Arabidopsis thaliana: one gene and its partner. Changing the gene in region 1 together with any one later gene gives a genetic interaction. Each region holds a gene or a part of one and is shown in the gene's direction. Other genes may lie near its edges.

What was found.
Region 2: of DML1 (region 1) and DCL3, changing one suppresses a phenotype caused by changing the other (phenotypic suppression), as found in Arabidopsis thaliana (one study listed by BioGRID).

The regions. Positions count from the first base shown.
Region 1 is NC_003071.7:15,308,786-15,316,506, reverse strand, and holds the start of DML1 (demeter-like 1), read left to right. Parts: upstream 1-1,699; 5' UTR 1,700-1,909; intron 1,910-2,151; 5' UTR 2,152-2,234; coding exon 2,235-2,368; intron 2,369-2,451; coding exon 2,452-2,567; intron 2,568-2,669; coding exon 2,670-3,800; intron 3,801-3,893; coding exon 3,894-4,265; intron 4,266-4,370; coding exon 4,371-4,461; intron 4,462-4,554; coding exon 4,555-5,452; intron 5,453-5,526; coding exon 5,527-5,606; intron 5,607-5,728; coding exon 5,729-5,813; intron 5,814-5,890; coding exon 5,891-5,982; intron 5,983-6,058; coding exon 6,059-6,127; intron 6,128-6,216; coding exon 6,217-6,253; intron 6,254-6,337; coding exon 6,338-6,420; intron 6,421-6,578; coding exon 6,579-7,004; intron 7,005-7,206; coding exon 7,207-7,243; intron 7,244-7,334; coding exon 7,335-7,392; intron 7,393-7,465; coding exon 7,466-7,605; intron 7,606-7,684; coding exon 7,685-7,721. UniProt on the Arabidopsis thaliana protein: Bifunctional DNA glycosylase/lyase, which excises 5-methylcytosine (5-meC) and 5-hydroxymethylcytosine (5-hmeC), leaving an apyrimidinic (AP) site that is subsequently incised by the lyase activity.
Region 2 is NC_003074.8:15,751,558-15,759,560, forward strand, and holds the start of DCL3 (dicer-like 3), read left to right. Parts: upstream 1-1,990; coding exon 1,991-2,124; intron 2,125-2,211; coding exon 2,212-2,386; intron 2,387-2,519; coding exon 2,520-2,633; intron 2,634-3,029; coding exon 3,030-3,164; intron 3,165-3,260; coding exon 3,261-3,334; exon of another isoform or gene 3,335-3,445; coding exon 3,446-3,509; intron 3,510-3,584; coding exon 3,585-3,716; intron 3,717-3,812; coding exon 3,813-3,965; intron 3,966-4,095; coding exon 4,096-4,225; intron 4,226-4,310; coding exon 4,311-4,416; intron 4,417-4,495; coding exon 4,496-4,688; intron 4,689-4,776; coding exon 4,777-4,937; intron 4,938-5,019; coding exon 5,020-5,345; intron 5,346-5,544; coding exon 5,545-5,816; intron 5,817-5,901; coding exon 5,902-6,422; intron 6,423-6,502; coding exon 6,503-6,597; intron 6,598-6,704; coding exon 6,705-6,934; intron 6,935-7,022; coding exon 7,023-7,232; intron 7,233-7,314; coding exon 7,315-7,782; intron 7,783-7,872; coding exon 7,873-8,003. Other genes in the region: AT3G43910 (MutS2), read left to right, coding at 443-548, 634-680, 773-892, 980-1,132. UniProt on the Arabidopsis thaliana protein: Ribonuclease (RNase) III involved in RNA-mediated post-transcriptional gene silencing (PTGS).

The DNA.
Region 1 (7,721 bases):
ATATTTATAGTTACAGAGTATGATCGAGTAACAAGCGACGATTTATATGAGGTTTTTAGGCATGCCGGCTTTAGACTATAGTCGATGAAGCAAGGACTTTAAGGTCGACGCCAAAATATTTTTTATATTTTGAACTTTTGAGAACCCTAGTTAGGCCTAAGCTTCACTTTGCTTGGCACACAGCCGGTTATATTGGTGGATCAATGTATGGATATTTTGTATGTTTGGAGTGATGGCTTTATCGAACTCTCTGAACACAACTCTGCTAACCATACATCCACACGTCGTGTGATAATTAGATCTTATATAATAGTCCAAAAATGACTTCCAACTCATATATTTATATAAATAGTCTTCTTTTGTGGTTATATGTTTGGTTATTTCTATTTATAGTTTAATTCAATACCAATATTACAACTAAATCAGTTTAATTTTTCTTTGATTTGGTCTTTGAATTCACTTTCATGGTCAGTTTCATTGTTTAAGATAAACTTGAATGGATTAAACCGAATTAGGCATTCACTTTTGATCAGTCTCTTCTGCCATAATCTTCATAAGACAAACCCAAATTTGTAAAAACTTTTTTGAAAAAGAAACCGTAAGTAAAAGTAAAAGCGTTTAGGATCCAAGTATGGATTAGCTTCGTAATTTGAATTAGGTTTAGCTATACGAATTCGTTTACTTTTGTACCATATTTAGTTGTATTGTTTTCAATAATAGTTTTAAACATTCGAATAATCCGTTCCCAACTTTTTATCCACTATTATTCGTCTCAGTTTCTAGGATAGATATGTCCACACAAAAAAGCTCTTGATTTTTTTTTTTTTTTTTACAAATTCCAAATTTCTTTGCTCATAACCCAATCATTAGGTTATGACCACCATTGACTCACTCATAAGTCATAAGTCATAGGCTCATAACCAATCCAACAAGTTGTTAAGATTGACAACAACGATTCACTAAGATTCCAACCAAGTCCATGAAATAAATGATTTACAATACTCATTTCTCATGTACGTCTCTTTGAAGGTTTCTTGCATGACAGGAAATCAAAGGTTAGCACACTAATTACTCTTTTTTTCACACACATTCACAGTTTCACACATATGGTGCAGTATTTTGACTCCTATCGTACTAGACTAAAACATTTGGAATGATCAAAAACGAAAGACTCGTTGGGCAACTAGCCTAATAATCACTCTACTACACTAGCTCCCATATCAGTGGAAAATAATAATTCTAAAACGAATCATTTAACTTCTGCATATGTAAACGAAAACGTGTAAATTTATGAGATTACGTAAAAATTAGCAAAATAATATATTATTGATCAAAATTATAAACGTGGATTACATAACATGTTATTTGTTTAAATCATAATTTGATGATAAATTTATAAATAAAGTTCTAATTATTTTATATCTAAAGCAAAATTAAGATTATTTTATAATTTCTATTAATTATAAAATTAGTTAGTTCATATAATTTTAAATAGTTACGTAAACGAGAAAAAATACGAAATTTTAAAGAGAAAAAGATAACAGAAAAGACGATGATGACGATGACGATAACAACGACAATATTATTAACTTTTTAAATCATCTTTCCCATAGTCTAGGAGATTTTGTAGAAAAGAATCATTATTTTTAAAATAAAATTCCGTAAAACTTTTCCCGCCAACCAAACGAACTTTCGCCCTACATAAACAAACGGTTATGAAAAATAGTGAAACACACAACAACACATGTTATATCCTCTTCTTTATACGTTAGGCCAAAAAAGCTTTTTCTATATTACTCTTTAACTTCATCGATTCCAAGAGAAGAAACGAAGCATCAGTGATCTTATCCTCTCATAGCTACCACCGAACTAACTCTCTCCATCACCACCATAACCATTGATTCTACTGGTAATGAATTTTGTTTTTTTCTTACTTTTTTTTACATTTTGTTGTGAATCTAAAAAGTCTCTCTTTCACCTAACGAACGGATTAATCGTTCATGTCGCCACTCACCCAAAATCAATGACTTCCGGAGATCTCTCTTTCTCTAAAACCCCAGAAAAAAGTGGATCTGATCATTTTATAAAATCGTGATTTTTAAAAAAAATTGGTGATCTCTTTTATTGAAGAAATTATTGAACTTTTTGCAGTGGAAAAAATAGAAAGTTCCAAGCTTTTTCTCAAATGGTTCTGATTTAAGTAAGAGTGAAGAAAAGTAAAAATAGAGTCAGAAATGGAGAAACAGAGGAGAGAAGAAAGCAGCTTTCAACAACCTCCATGGATTCCTCAGACACCCATGAAGCCATTTTCACCGATCTGCCCATACACGGTGGAGGATCAATATCATAGCAGTCAATTGGAGGAAAGGTTTGTGCTTTTTTGTTCTAAAGTTGAGAAATTTCAAAGAGTAGTGATGGGTAATTGGTTAAGTAAGGTATTGATGCATGCAGGAGATTTGTTGGGAACAAGGATATGAGTGGTCTTGATCACTTGTCTTTTGGGGATTTGCTTGCTCTAGCTAACACTGCATCCCTCATATTCTCTGGTCAGACTCCAATACCTACAAGTAAGAGGGGATTTTGATTCTGGTCTCATGAGAAATGAAATCGCTTTGTCAAATTTTGATTCTGTTTGAGTTGGACTGAGAAAGATGTGATTCTCAATGTAGGAAACACAGAGGTTATGCAAAAAGGTACTGAAGAAGTGGAGAGTTTGAGCTCAGTGAGTAACAATGTTGCTGAACAGATCCTCAAGACTCCTGAAAAACCTAAGAGGAAGAAGCATCGGCCAAAGGTTCGTAGAGAAGCTAAACCCAAGAGGGAGCCTAAACCACGAGCTCCGAGGAAGTCTGTTGTCACCGATGGTCAAGAAAGCAAAACACCAAAGAGGAAATATGTGCGGAAGAAGGTTGAAGTCAGTAAGGATCAAGACGCTACTCCGGTTGAATCATCAGCAGCTGTTGAAACTTCAACTCGTCCTAAGAGGCTCTGTAGACGAGTCTTGGATTTTGAAGCCGAAAATGGAGAAAACCAGACCAACGGTGACATTAGAGAAGCAGGTGAGATGGAATCAGCTCTTCAAGAGAAGCAGTTAGATTCTGGGAATCAAGAGTTAAAAGATTGCCTTCTTTCGGCTCCTAGCACGCCCAAGAGAAAGCGCAGCCAAGGTAAAAGAAAGGGAGTTCAACCAAAGAAAAATGGCAGTAATCTAGAAGAAGTCGATATTTCGATGGCGCAAGCTGCAAAGAGAAGACAAGGACCAACTTGTTGCGACATGAATCTATCAGGGATTCAGTATGATGAGCAATGTGACTACCAGAAAATGCATTGGTTGTATTCCCCAAACTTGCAACAGGGAGGGATGAGATATGATGCCATTTGCAGCAAAGTATTCTCTGGACAACAGCACAATTATGTTTCTGCCTTTCACGCTACGTGCTACAGTTCCACATCTCAGCTCAGTGCTAATAGAGTCCTAACCGTTGAAGAAAGACGAGAAGGTATCTTTCAAGGAAGGCAAGAGTCTGAGCTAAATGTTCTCTCGGATAAGATAGACACGCCGATCAAGAAGAAAACAACAGGCCATGCTCGATTCCGGAATTTGTCTTCAATGAATAAACTTGTGGAAGTTCCTGAGCATTTAACCTCAGGATATTGTAGCAAGCCACAGCAAAATAATAAGATTCTTGTTGATACGCGGGTGACTGTGAGCAAAAAGAAGCCAACCAAGTCTGAGAAATCACAAACCAAACAGAAAAATCTTCTTCCGAATCTTTGCCGTTTTCCACCTTCATTTACTGGTAATGAATAGATACAGAACTATATTTCTTTGTTTTTTTGAATCTGTTAAATGCAGACTATTTCTTGATAATGATGATGTTTGATTCCTGCAGGTCTTTCTCCAGATGAACTTTGGAAACGACGTAACTCGATCGAAACAATCAGTGAGCTATTGCGTCTATTAGACATCAACAGGGAGCATTCTGAAACTGCTCTCGTTCCTTACACAATGAATAGCCAGATTGTACTCTTTGGTGGTGGCGCTGGAGCAATTGTGCCTGTAACTCCTGTTAAAAAACCACGCCCACGACCAAAGGTTGATCTAGACGATGAGACAGACAGAGTGTGGAAACTGCTATTGGAGAATATTAATAGCGAAGGTGTTGACGGATCAGACGAGCAGAAGGCGAAATGGTGGGAGGAAGAACGTAATGTGTTTCGAGGACGAGCTGACTCATTTATTGCAAGGATGCACCTTGTACAAGGTTATACACCACACTTGTCCTTTTATGTGTTTCTGTTCTAACCACATGGTTTCAATTAGTATGTCTCAGCTACTGCTTCTTGTTATGGTCTTTGGTTTCTAACAGGGGATCGACGTTTTACGCCTTGGAAGGGATCCGTCGTGGATTCTGTTGTTGGAGTATTTCTCACTCAAAATGTTTCAGACCATCTCTCAAGGTACAAGCTCTTACATAATTCTATGTCAAACTAAATCCAAGACAGCAAAAAGTCACAAAACTAACTTGCTTTGATGTTTTTTACTCCTTGTAGTTCGGCTTTCATGTCGTTGGCTTCCCAGTTCCCTGTCCCTTTTGTACCGAGCAGTAACTTTGACGCTGGAACAAGCTCGATGCCTTCTATTCAAATAACGTACTTGGACTCAGAGGAAACGATGTCAAGCCCACCCGATCACAATCACAGTTCTGTTACTTTGAAAAATACACAGCCTGATGAGGAGAAGGATTATGTACCTAGCAATGAAACCTCCAGAAGCAGTAGTGAGATTGCCATCTCAGCCCATGAATCAGTTGACAAAACCACGGATTCAAAGGAGTATGTTGATTCAGATCGAAAAGGCTCAAGTGTAGAGGTTGATAAGACGGATGAGAAGTGTCGTGTCCTGAACCTGTTTCCATCTGAAGATTCTGCACTTACATGTCAACATTCGATGGTGTCTGATGCTCCTCAAAATACAGAGAGAGCAGGATCAAGCTCAGAGATCGACTTAGAAGGAGAGTATCGTACTTCCTTTATGAAGCTCCTACAGGGGGTACAAGTCTCTCTAGAAGATTCCAATCAAGTATCACCAAATATGTCTCCGGGTGATTGTAGCTCAGAAATTAAGGGTTTCCAGTCAATGAAAGAGCCCACAAAATCCTCTGTTGATAGTAGTGAACCTGGTTGTTGCTCTCAGCAAGATGGGGATGTTTTGAGTTGTCAGAAACCTACCTTAAAAGAAAAAGGGAAAAAGGTTTTGAAGGAGGAAAAAAAAGCGTTTGACTGGGATTGTTTAAGAAGAGAAGCCCAAGCTAGAGCAGGAATTAGAGAAAAAACAAGAAGTACAATGGACACCGTGGATTGGAAGGCAATACGAGCAGCAGATGTTAAGGAAGTTGCTGAAACAATCAAGAGTCGCGGGATGAACCATAAACTTGCAGAACGTATACAGGTAAAAATTTAGTGGCTAAATTTCGTGATAACATTCATTTTAAGTATTTGACTCTGAACATGAAAATCATGCAGGGCTTCCTTGATCGACTGGTAAATGACCATGGAAGTATCGATCTTGAATGGTTGAGAGATGTTCCACCAGATAAAGCAAAGTAAGTTTGAAAGACGAAGCATTTTATTTCTTCTTTATTAACCTATACAAAGATTACTACTTTGGCAGTTTTAGTGACTTAATAATGAATTATGTACTCTCGTATATTACAAAACCCTGCAGAGAATATCTTCTGAGCTTTAACGGATTGGGACTGAAAAGTGTGGAGTGTGTGCGGCTTCTAACACTTCACCATCTTGCCTTTCCAGTAAGCAAGGATCAAACTTTTGTTTCTGTCCCTATAAAAAGTGAATTATATGATGCATGAACTTAATTTATTGACAGGTTGATACAAATGTTGGGCGCATAGCCGTCAGACTTGGATGGGTGCCCCTTCAGCCGCTCCCAGAGTCACTTCAGTTGCATCTTCTGGAAATGTAAGCACTTTTCAAAATGGTCCTACTTGGAAATTGTAATTTGTTACTTAATACATCTGAGGTTTGGTTTGTCTAGGTATCCTATGCTTGAATCTATTCAAAAGTATCTTTGGCCCCGTCTCTGCAAACTCGACCAAAAAACATTGTAAGAATGATGTTTATCACTAACTTTTTTTTTTTCATGCCTCAGTCTAATACACTTATTCATTAGTTTAATACCCTATTATCTCACAGGTATGAGTTGCACTACCAGATGATTACTTTTGGAAAGGTATGTATTAAAGAAATACATATATACGTATGTCAAAATCAGCTCACATGATGAGGTTTGTAATCTGCTTGATTATTGTATCAGGTCTTTTGCACAAAGAGCAAACCTAATTGCAATGCATGTCCGATGAAAGGAGAATGCAGACATTTTGCCAGTGCGTTTGCAAGGTGCTACAACATGTTCTCTTAAACCTTTAGTACCACTATGACTCTATGAGGAAAGTCCTTGTTAAAATATAACCCAGTTAAATGAGAATTGGTCTGTATCTAAACGAAGCTCTGAATCATCATTACAGAAAATTTAGTAACATTCATTTGTTTTACAGTGCAAGGCTTGCTTTACCAAGTACAGAGAAAGGTATGGGGACACCTGATAAAAACCCTTTGCCTCTACACCTGCCAGAGCCATTCCAGAGAGAGCAAGGGTCTGAAGTAGTACAGCACTCAGAACCAGCAAAAAAGGTCACATGTTGTGAACCAATCATCGAAGAGCCTGCTTCACCGGAGCCAGAAACCGCAGAAGTATCAATAGCTGACATAGAGGAGGCGTTTTTTGAGGATCCAGAAGAAATTCCTACCATCAGGCTAAACATGGATGCATTTACCAGTAACTTGAAGAAGATAATGGAACACAACAAGGAACTTCAAGACGGAAACATGTCCAGCGCTTTAGTTGCACTTACTGCTGAAACTGCTTCTCTTCCAATGCCTAAGCTCAAGAATATCAGCCAGTTAAGGACAGAACACCGAGTGTAAGAATCCATTTTTCTCTGTTTTTCTTCGTTCTTAGGTTAAAAATGAAATCAGAAACACATTTTTCAAAATTATTAAAGCTTGAACAGAGTAGAATATTTAAGTGATTGACCAAGCATGAACTCGTAAGTTGGAAAGCAGACAAACTTCCCAATAATTACAGGCTATGCCATAACTTGTTTCTTTTCCCGTATCTTGCAGTTACGAACTTCCAGACGAGCATCCTCTTCTAGCTCAGGTATGTGAGCTAACTGGATAAGGACACATGCCGTATAGAGTGCTGTCTATATTGTAAAATCTGACTAGCTGTTTGTGATTTCTTGTGGCAGTTGGAAAAGAGAGAACCTGATGATCCATGTTCTTATTTGCTTGCTATATGGACGCCAGGTAATTTAATGATTTGCATATCTTTTAATCATGAAATCAAATCGGTATCTTTAATCGATGTGTTATTCAACAGGTGAGACGGCTGATTCTATTCAACCGTCTGTTAGTACGTGCATATTCCAAGCAAATGGTATGCTTTGTGACGAGGAGACTTGTTTCTCCTGCAACAGCATCAAGGAGACTAGATCTCAAATTGTGAGAGGGACAATTTTGGTAAGTAGTTGCATCAATCTCCTTATGCGGCTTACTACACTTATGTTTTCTACAGATTAATATGTTGTAAATTGTACAGATTCCTTGTAGAACAGCGATGAGGGGTAGTTTTCCTC
Region 2 (8,003 bases), on another chromosome or scaffold:
TACTAATTAATTTTCGAAAAGAATATTGTTTTTCTTCTGAAACCCTAGAACTGTGAAACTACAAGATTCTAGGGTTTGTGAAGTAAATTAAGATATTCCATTGGGTAATCTCAGGACATGCACTTGGTTAGTCATAAATTATATATACAAGGTTCGATATTTCATTGGGTAATCTCAGGCAGATGGACTTGGTTTATCATAATTTATATATACAAGGTTCGATTGTTATCTATAGGAATTATATGAATGAAATTAATATTGGATGATAGAAGATTTACAACTAATTAACCTGTTTGTAACTATTGAGTTAGTGAGTTTTGTTATCTATCCCTTAAGTTAAATAAGACATGCTTTGTAAACTGTTCTCTTGGTGAATACAGTGGAAAATTCACTTTAGTCATTTTGATATGGATTAAGTTTTGTGTGTTAAATCTGTGTGAAGGTATATGATACTCCTCAGTTGGAAGTTGTAGTTCAAAACATCCGAACACGTAGTTTCAACGAAAAATCAATGCTAGAACTGATTCGTAGTCTAGATGTTCCATCCGGTAAGAACGATATTTCACTGTGTTTTTGTTGTGGCGTGTTCTTTGCGTTATGTTTAAAATCAATTTGGTCTCTTCACTGTTGTAGGAACCAAGGCATTTGTAGCGAAATATATTCATCCTGAAAACGCTATTGTAAAAATTACTCATCTCTTTTTTTTTTTACTTCAGTACGTTTATGATATGGATTCGATACACTGAAACATGATTGTGTCTTTATATCTTAGACTGCCTACAATGATGGACTTGGATGTGGATTATGGACACTTCTCACATCTAGCATTTCTGTTATTTACGTTACTCCTTCTACATGGGACAAACATTTTAATCTTAGTATTTGGAGTTTGGTGATGAATCTTAACTCTCAAACTTTTATGATTTCATGTCTATCCTCACATCAATTGCAATAAAAATATTTGCTTTTCTCTTCGTAGGATGGTGGCAGGAAACTCGCACTGGAAATGTTTCCATCACTTAAATTGACAACGAAAATTGACGACAATGCTCGAGCTAATGCACTACTCATTGCTGCATATGGTCATGCTACAAGTGATACAAGATATTACTCATTTTCTCAAATTAAGTGACATATCTAACATGTAAAAATGAGTAATGTTTTGGTGATTTCACTTATATATTGCATCTCTTTCTCTGCTCCTTTGGCTTTCAGAAAATTCTTCACTAATTAGAAAAAAATATTTTGTTTATTCTTTTTCCGTATTCAAAATCTCTCAAAATTTGGTCATTTTTCGATTTCTATATTTATCTAATTTTCAAGGTGAGAGTTGTTAATGTAGTTTGGTTATGATTTAACCCGACCGAAATCCTCATGACCTAACAAATTATAAATAATCTCTGACAAAACAAGGTAAATTGTCTCGGGTTGAAAGAGACATTAGAATTAGATGATATTAACATAAGTCAGCCCCTCTTCTACATTTTTAGCTTTCTTTTAGTCGAAAATCATTCCAAACTCGGAACATACATTGTGGTGTTTATTTGGGAAGAAGTCCACGCTAAAGTATTTTAGTACATTTCTACCAGATTACCCGGATAAATAAAAAAAGCGAAGTTACTTACAACATGAAACAGCTTGCACATTGAAGAAAAGTAATCAATCAGCAGTATATCCAATGAATCTATGCATCTTGTCAGGTCCATTGGGCCTTAGAGGCCTAAATATTTGAAGAAAGAGTAAAATCAAAAATAAAGTATCGAAAAAAGGTAACCCAAAAATTAATATAGTTTGACTAATTTTGTTGCAGTTTTTTTTTCTAGTTAAAAATTCAACATTCGAAACTCATGTTCTGACCTCATTTATACACTTGCCCAGTGGTCAGTGCAGAAAAAGAGAAAAAGAATCACCTTTTTGTTTTAATCTCAAAGTCGAAATTCGAAATTCCTCTACTCTTCCCGTTAAGTGTGTTCCTTTTTATCCGTTCGTCATGCATTCGTCGTTGGAGCCGGAGAAAATGGAGGAAGGTGGGGGAAGCAATTCGCTTAAGAGAAAATTCTCTGAAATCGATGGAGATCAAAATCTTGATTCTGTCTCTTCTCCTATGATGACTGACTCTAATGGGTATCATCATCTTCCTCTCTTTGTACTTGATTTTGGGTCTTATGGGTTTTTAGTCTTTTTCACTAAAGTTTACTTTTTTTTTGGCAGTAGTTATGAATTGAAAGTGTACGAGGTTGCTAAGAACAGGAACATAATTGCTGTTTTGGGGACAGGGATTGATAAGTCAGAGATCACTAAGAGGCTTATCAAAGCTATGGGTTCTTCTGATACAGACAAAAGATTGATAATTTTCTTGGCCCCAACTGTGAATCTTGTTAAACAGGCAAGTCTCTTGTTTGATTGTAAAAAGAAAAACTGTTTCATTTGGATTTTAATCATTTTGAGTTGATGATGTTGGCTAATGAGTCGCCTTGGGAGCTTATTTTTGAATGTTTTATTGGTGTGTGTGGTTTTAGCAATGCTGTGAGATCAGAGCACTTGTGAATTTGAAAGTTGAAGAGTACTTTGGAGCTAAAGGAGTTGATAAATGGACATCTCAGCGCTGGGATGAGGAATTTAGCAAGCACGATGTAAGTTTCTGTTTCTTTTTGTGTATATTTGGCTAGTTATACGCCAACAAAGTGACTTGCTTGTAGTTTTGGTGATTTTATATCAAAATTTCTTTGTGTGGTTAGTGAAACTTTGGCAGAATGTTGTAATCCACTTTGACCAGCTCATTGTTGTATTTTGAGTCATGAATGTTCTCTGAGTTAGTTAAAAGCCCATTCCAATTTGTTACTTTTGGGGTTGGTTCTTCTTCCAATGCTGATTATTTCTTAATTATTTTGTTTGAACTTGTTTGCTTGAGCCCTTGACGTAGATTTGTGACTGCATTGATCTCACTAACAGAATCACATACTTCTCTTTTGTTGCCGAATCCACGTGAGTCTATTATCTGCAATGAAATTATGTTTTGTATGGTTCAGGTTTTAGTTATGACTCCTCAAATATTATTGGATGTCCTTAGAAGTGCATTCCTGAAACTAGAGATGGTATGTCTTCTAATAATAGATGAATGCCACCATACCACTGGCAATCATCCCTATGCGAAGTTAATGAAGGTGTGTTTTCTCAGTAATGATAAGCTCTATTAGTTTTTTCATAATAGAGTTTCCATAACTTGTCAACGAACTAGATTCTTTCTTGTTTTCATGAAGGAATTCTATCACGAATCCACTAGCAAACCGAAGATATTTGGATTGACTGCGTCAGCCGTCATTAGAAAAGGCATGCTATTTAAAAGTTTCTTATTTCCTCTGTATGCCAAACCAAAGATCCTGCTTCCTGTAACTACTTTTTAATGTTTGAACTTCATGTAAGGAACATAAACTCATACTACAAGTGTTTCCTCTCCCTCTAACTATGCAGCTCAAGTATCAGAACTTGAGAGACTCATGGACTCAAAGGTACTTTGTTTTTGTGTAACAAGGAAACAGATATAGTTTACAAATTAATGCTATGCAATCTTACTTTGAATTCAGATTTTTAATCCTGAAGAGCGTGAAGGAGTGGAAAAGTTTGCTACAACGGTTAAAGAAGGTCCAATATTGTATAACCCATCACCATCCTGTAGTTTGGAATTGAAAGAAAAGTTAGAAACTTCACACCTCAAGGTATATAATATATGCTCACTGAATATGATCCAGAACATGACTCTTTCCTATTATGTTTCAGAGTGCTTGAAAAATATTCTGTTTTTTTTCGTACAGTTTGATGCTTCTCTTAGAAGGCTTCAAGAGTTGGGAAAAGACAGTTTTCTGAATATGGATAATAAGTTTGAGACATATCAAAAGAGATTGTCTATCGACTACAGAGAGATTTTGCATTGCCTTGATAATCTTGGCCTGATTTGCGCACACTTGGTATTTTTCTACCAGTTTAGTTTTTATTACCAGTTCTTCATTTGCTTACTCATTGTTACTTTTTTCTCCCGCTAGCATACCTGTTGTGCTGATTATTTTTCTTTTTTTTTTCATCTTGCTTTCGCGATAGGCGGCTGAAGTCTGCTTGGAGAAAATCTCAGATACGAAAGAGGAAAGTGAAACTTATAAAGAATGCTCAATGGTGTGCAAGGAATTTCTTGAGGATATTTTATCCACCATTGGGGTGTATTTGCCGCAAGGTAATGTATTCAAAGCTCTATATTGCATTGAGTCCTCTTCTAGTCACTAATTTTTACACTGTTTATCATTTGTGTTATTTAACAGATGATAAGAGTCTGGTAGATTTGCAGCAAAACCATCTGTCAGCAGTAATTTCTGGGCATGTATCTCCAAAGCTAAAAGAACTCTTCCATCTATTGGATTCCTTTAGGTAAATTTAAATTGTTTATCCAACTCCCAAAATTGCACCAAGATCTCCATCTGTTCTGACAATTTCAATTTGCTTGCAGAGGTGACAAGCAAAAGCAGTGCCTTATTTTAGTTGAGAGAATTATAACTGCGAAAGTGATCGAAAGATTCGTTAAGAAAGAAGCCTCTTTGGCTTACCTTAATGTCTTGTATTTAACCGAAAACAACCCCTCCACCAATGTATCGGCACAGAAAATGCAAATTGAAATCCCTGATTTATTTCAACATGGCAAGGTTACCTGTTCTTCATCACAGTCAGATGTTTTATAGATTGAGAAATGTTTTTATTTTGTCTTCTCTGAAAGCTTTTTAATGCATGTAGGTGAATCTTTTATTCATCACAGATGTGGTTGAAGAGGGATTTCAGGTTCCAGATTGCTCATGCATGGTTTGTTTTGACCTGCCCAAAACAATGTGTAGTTACTCGCAGTCTCAAAAACATGCCAAACAGAGTAATTCTAAGTCTATCATGTTTCTTGAAAGGTAGGAAGCAATATTTATTTAACACAAAATGTTTACCAAATTCCAGTTTTTGTAGCTTATTTCTGAATACTAATTATTGTAGAGGGAACCCGAAGCAAAGAGACCATCTGCATGACCTTATGCGAAGAGAAGTCCTAATTCAAGATCCAGAAGCTCCAAACTTGAAATCGTGTCCACCTCCAGTGAAAAATGGACACGGTGTGAAGGAGATTGGATCCATGGTTATCCCAGATTCTAACATAACTGTATCTGAGGAAGCAGCTTCCACACAAACTATGAGTGATCCTCCTAGCAGAAATGAGCAGTTACCACCGTGTAAAAAGTTACGCTTGGATAACAATCTCTTACAATCCAACGGCAAAGAGAAGGTTGCCTCTTCTAAAAGTAAATCATCTTCATCGGCTGCAGGTATGTTTTCTAATTTATTAATTCGTCAATTAGCTGGTGTCGCTGATTTTAGTCTTTAGTTCCTCTATCAGCCGCTGTTGTATCACACACATACACGCACACATCAGCAGTTGCATATCATATGTCTATGTCTAAGGTCATGGAGCTTGTCTTAATTTGTTTATTTATGTATACATTTCTTTTTCTTTTCGCTGAACAGGTTCAAAAAAACGTAAGGAGTTGCACGGAACAACCTGTGCAAACGCATTGTCAGGAACCTGGGGAGAAAATATTGATGGCGCCACCTTTCAGGCTTATAAGTTTGACTTCTGTTGTAATATTTCTGGCGAAGTATACTCGAGTTTCTCTCTTTTGCTTGAGTCAACTCTCGCCGAGGATGTTGGTAAAGTTGAGATGGACCTTTACTTGGTCAGGAAGCTTGTCAAGGCTTCTGTCTCACCTTGTGGCCAGATACGTTTGAGTCAAGAGGAGGTACATAACTCTGATCCCTAGTTATAAACAGTTTCTTGTTTCATGGTTTGAACTTGATGTCTTCTTCTTTGTGTTTTGGATGCAGCTGGTCAAAGCAAAATATTTTCAGCAGTTTTTCTTTAATGGCATGTTTGGAAAGTTGTTTGTTGGATCTAAGTCACAGGGAACAAAGAGAGAATTTTTGCTTCAAACTGACACTAGTTCTCTTTGGCACCCTGCCTTTATGTTTCTACTGCTACCAGTTGAAACAAATGATCTAGCTTCGAGTGCGACAATTGATTGGTCAGCTATCAACTCCTGTGCCTCAATAGTTGAGTTCTTGAAGAAAAATTCTCTTCTTGATCTTCGGGATAGTGATGGGAATCAGTGCAATACCTCATCCGGTCAGGAAGTCTTACTAGACGATAAAATGGAAGAAACGAATCTGATTCATTTTGCCAATGCTTCGTCTGATAAAAATAGTCTCGAAGAACTTGTGGTCATTGCAATTCATACTGGACGGATATACTCTATAGTTGAAGCCGTAAGCGATTCTTCTGCTATGAGCCCCTTTGAGGTGGATGCCTCATCAGGCTATGCTACTTATGCAGAATATTTTAACAAAAAGTAAGTGATATTCTAGCTTTGGCTGTTCTTTCAATCTACTTATCATAACTCTCTAGTTAATGTTATTCCCTTTTAATCAGGTATGGGATTGTTTTAGCGCACCCGAACCAGCCGTTGATGAAGTTGAAGCAGAGTCACCATGCGCACAACCTTTTAGTCGACTTCAATGAAGAGAGTAAGTTGATTCTTGAGAATTTCTCCAACATATGGAATCATTGTGTATGTTCTCATGATATTGTAGTGTGTGAGCTCTAAGATGTTGTTTCCAATGTAAATGGACAGTGGTTGTGAAGACAGAACCAAAAGCTGGCAATGTTAGGAAAAGAAAACCGAATATCCATGCGCATTTGCCTCCAGAGCTTTTGGCTAGAATTGATGTACCGCGTGCTGTGCTAAAATCAATCTACTTGCTGCCTTCAGTGATGCACCGCCTAGAGTCTCTAATGTTGGCCAGCCAGCTTAGGGAAGAGATTGATTGTAGCATAGATAACTTCAGTATATCAAGTACATCGGTATGGTTTTTGAAAACTATCTGTCATTTAGAGATGAAACTAGATATCTTGATTGTCATTAAACTCTTGTCTTGGTTCAATAAATCAGATTCTTGAAGCAGTTACAACACTTACATGCCCCGAATCATTTTCAATGGAGCGGTTGGAACTGCTCGGGGATTCAGTCTTGAAGTATGTTGCGAGCTGTCATCTATTCCTTAAGTATCCTGACAAAGATGAGGGGCAACTATCACGGCAGAGACAATCGATTATATCTAACTCAAATCTTCACCGCTTGACAACCAGTCGCAAACTACAGGTATCTTCTAACATTTGCAAGTAATGTCTTACATCAGTCAGAACACCAAAGAAATATCTTTCCATGGGGATTGGTTTGATAGGGATACATAAGAAATGGCGCTTTTGAACCGCGTCGCTGGACTGCACCTGGTCAATTTTCTCTTTTTCCTGTTCCTTGCAAGTGTGGGATTGATACTAGAGAAGTACCATTGGACCCAAAATTCTTCACAGAAAACATGACTATCAAAATAGGCAAGTCTTGCGACATGGGTCATAGATGGGTAGTTTCAAAATCTGTATCAGATTGCGCTGAGGCCCTGATTGGTGCCTATTATGTAAGCGGTGGATTGTCTGCTTCTCTCCATATGATGAAATGGCTCGGTATTGACGTCGATTTTGACCCAAACCTAGTCGTTGAAGCCATCAATAGAGTTTCTCTACGGTGTTACATTCCTAAAGAAGATGAGCTCATAGAGTTGGAGAGAAAGATCCAACATGAATTCTCTGCAAAGTTTCTTTTAAAAGAGGCTATCACACACTCCTCTCTTCGTGAATCCTATTCATACGAGGTATGACTTCATCATTTTCAACCCCTGCATTATTTGGCTGACTTATTCCCAGGTTTCCAACCTCATGCTATCATTTTTTTCCTCAAACAGAGATTAGAGTTTCTTGGCGATTCTGTACTGGATTTTCTAATAACCCGTCATCTTTTTAACACCTACGAACAAACTGGGCCTGGAGAGATGACCGATCTTCGTTCTGCATGTGTAAACAATGAAAATTTTGC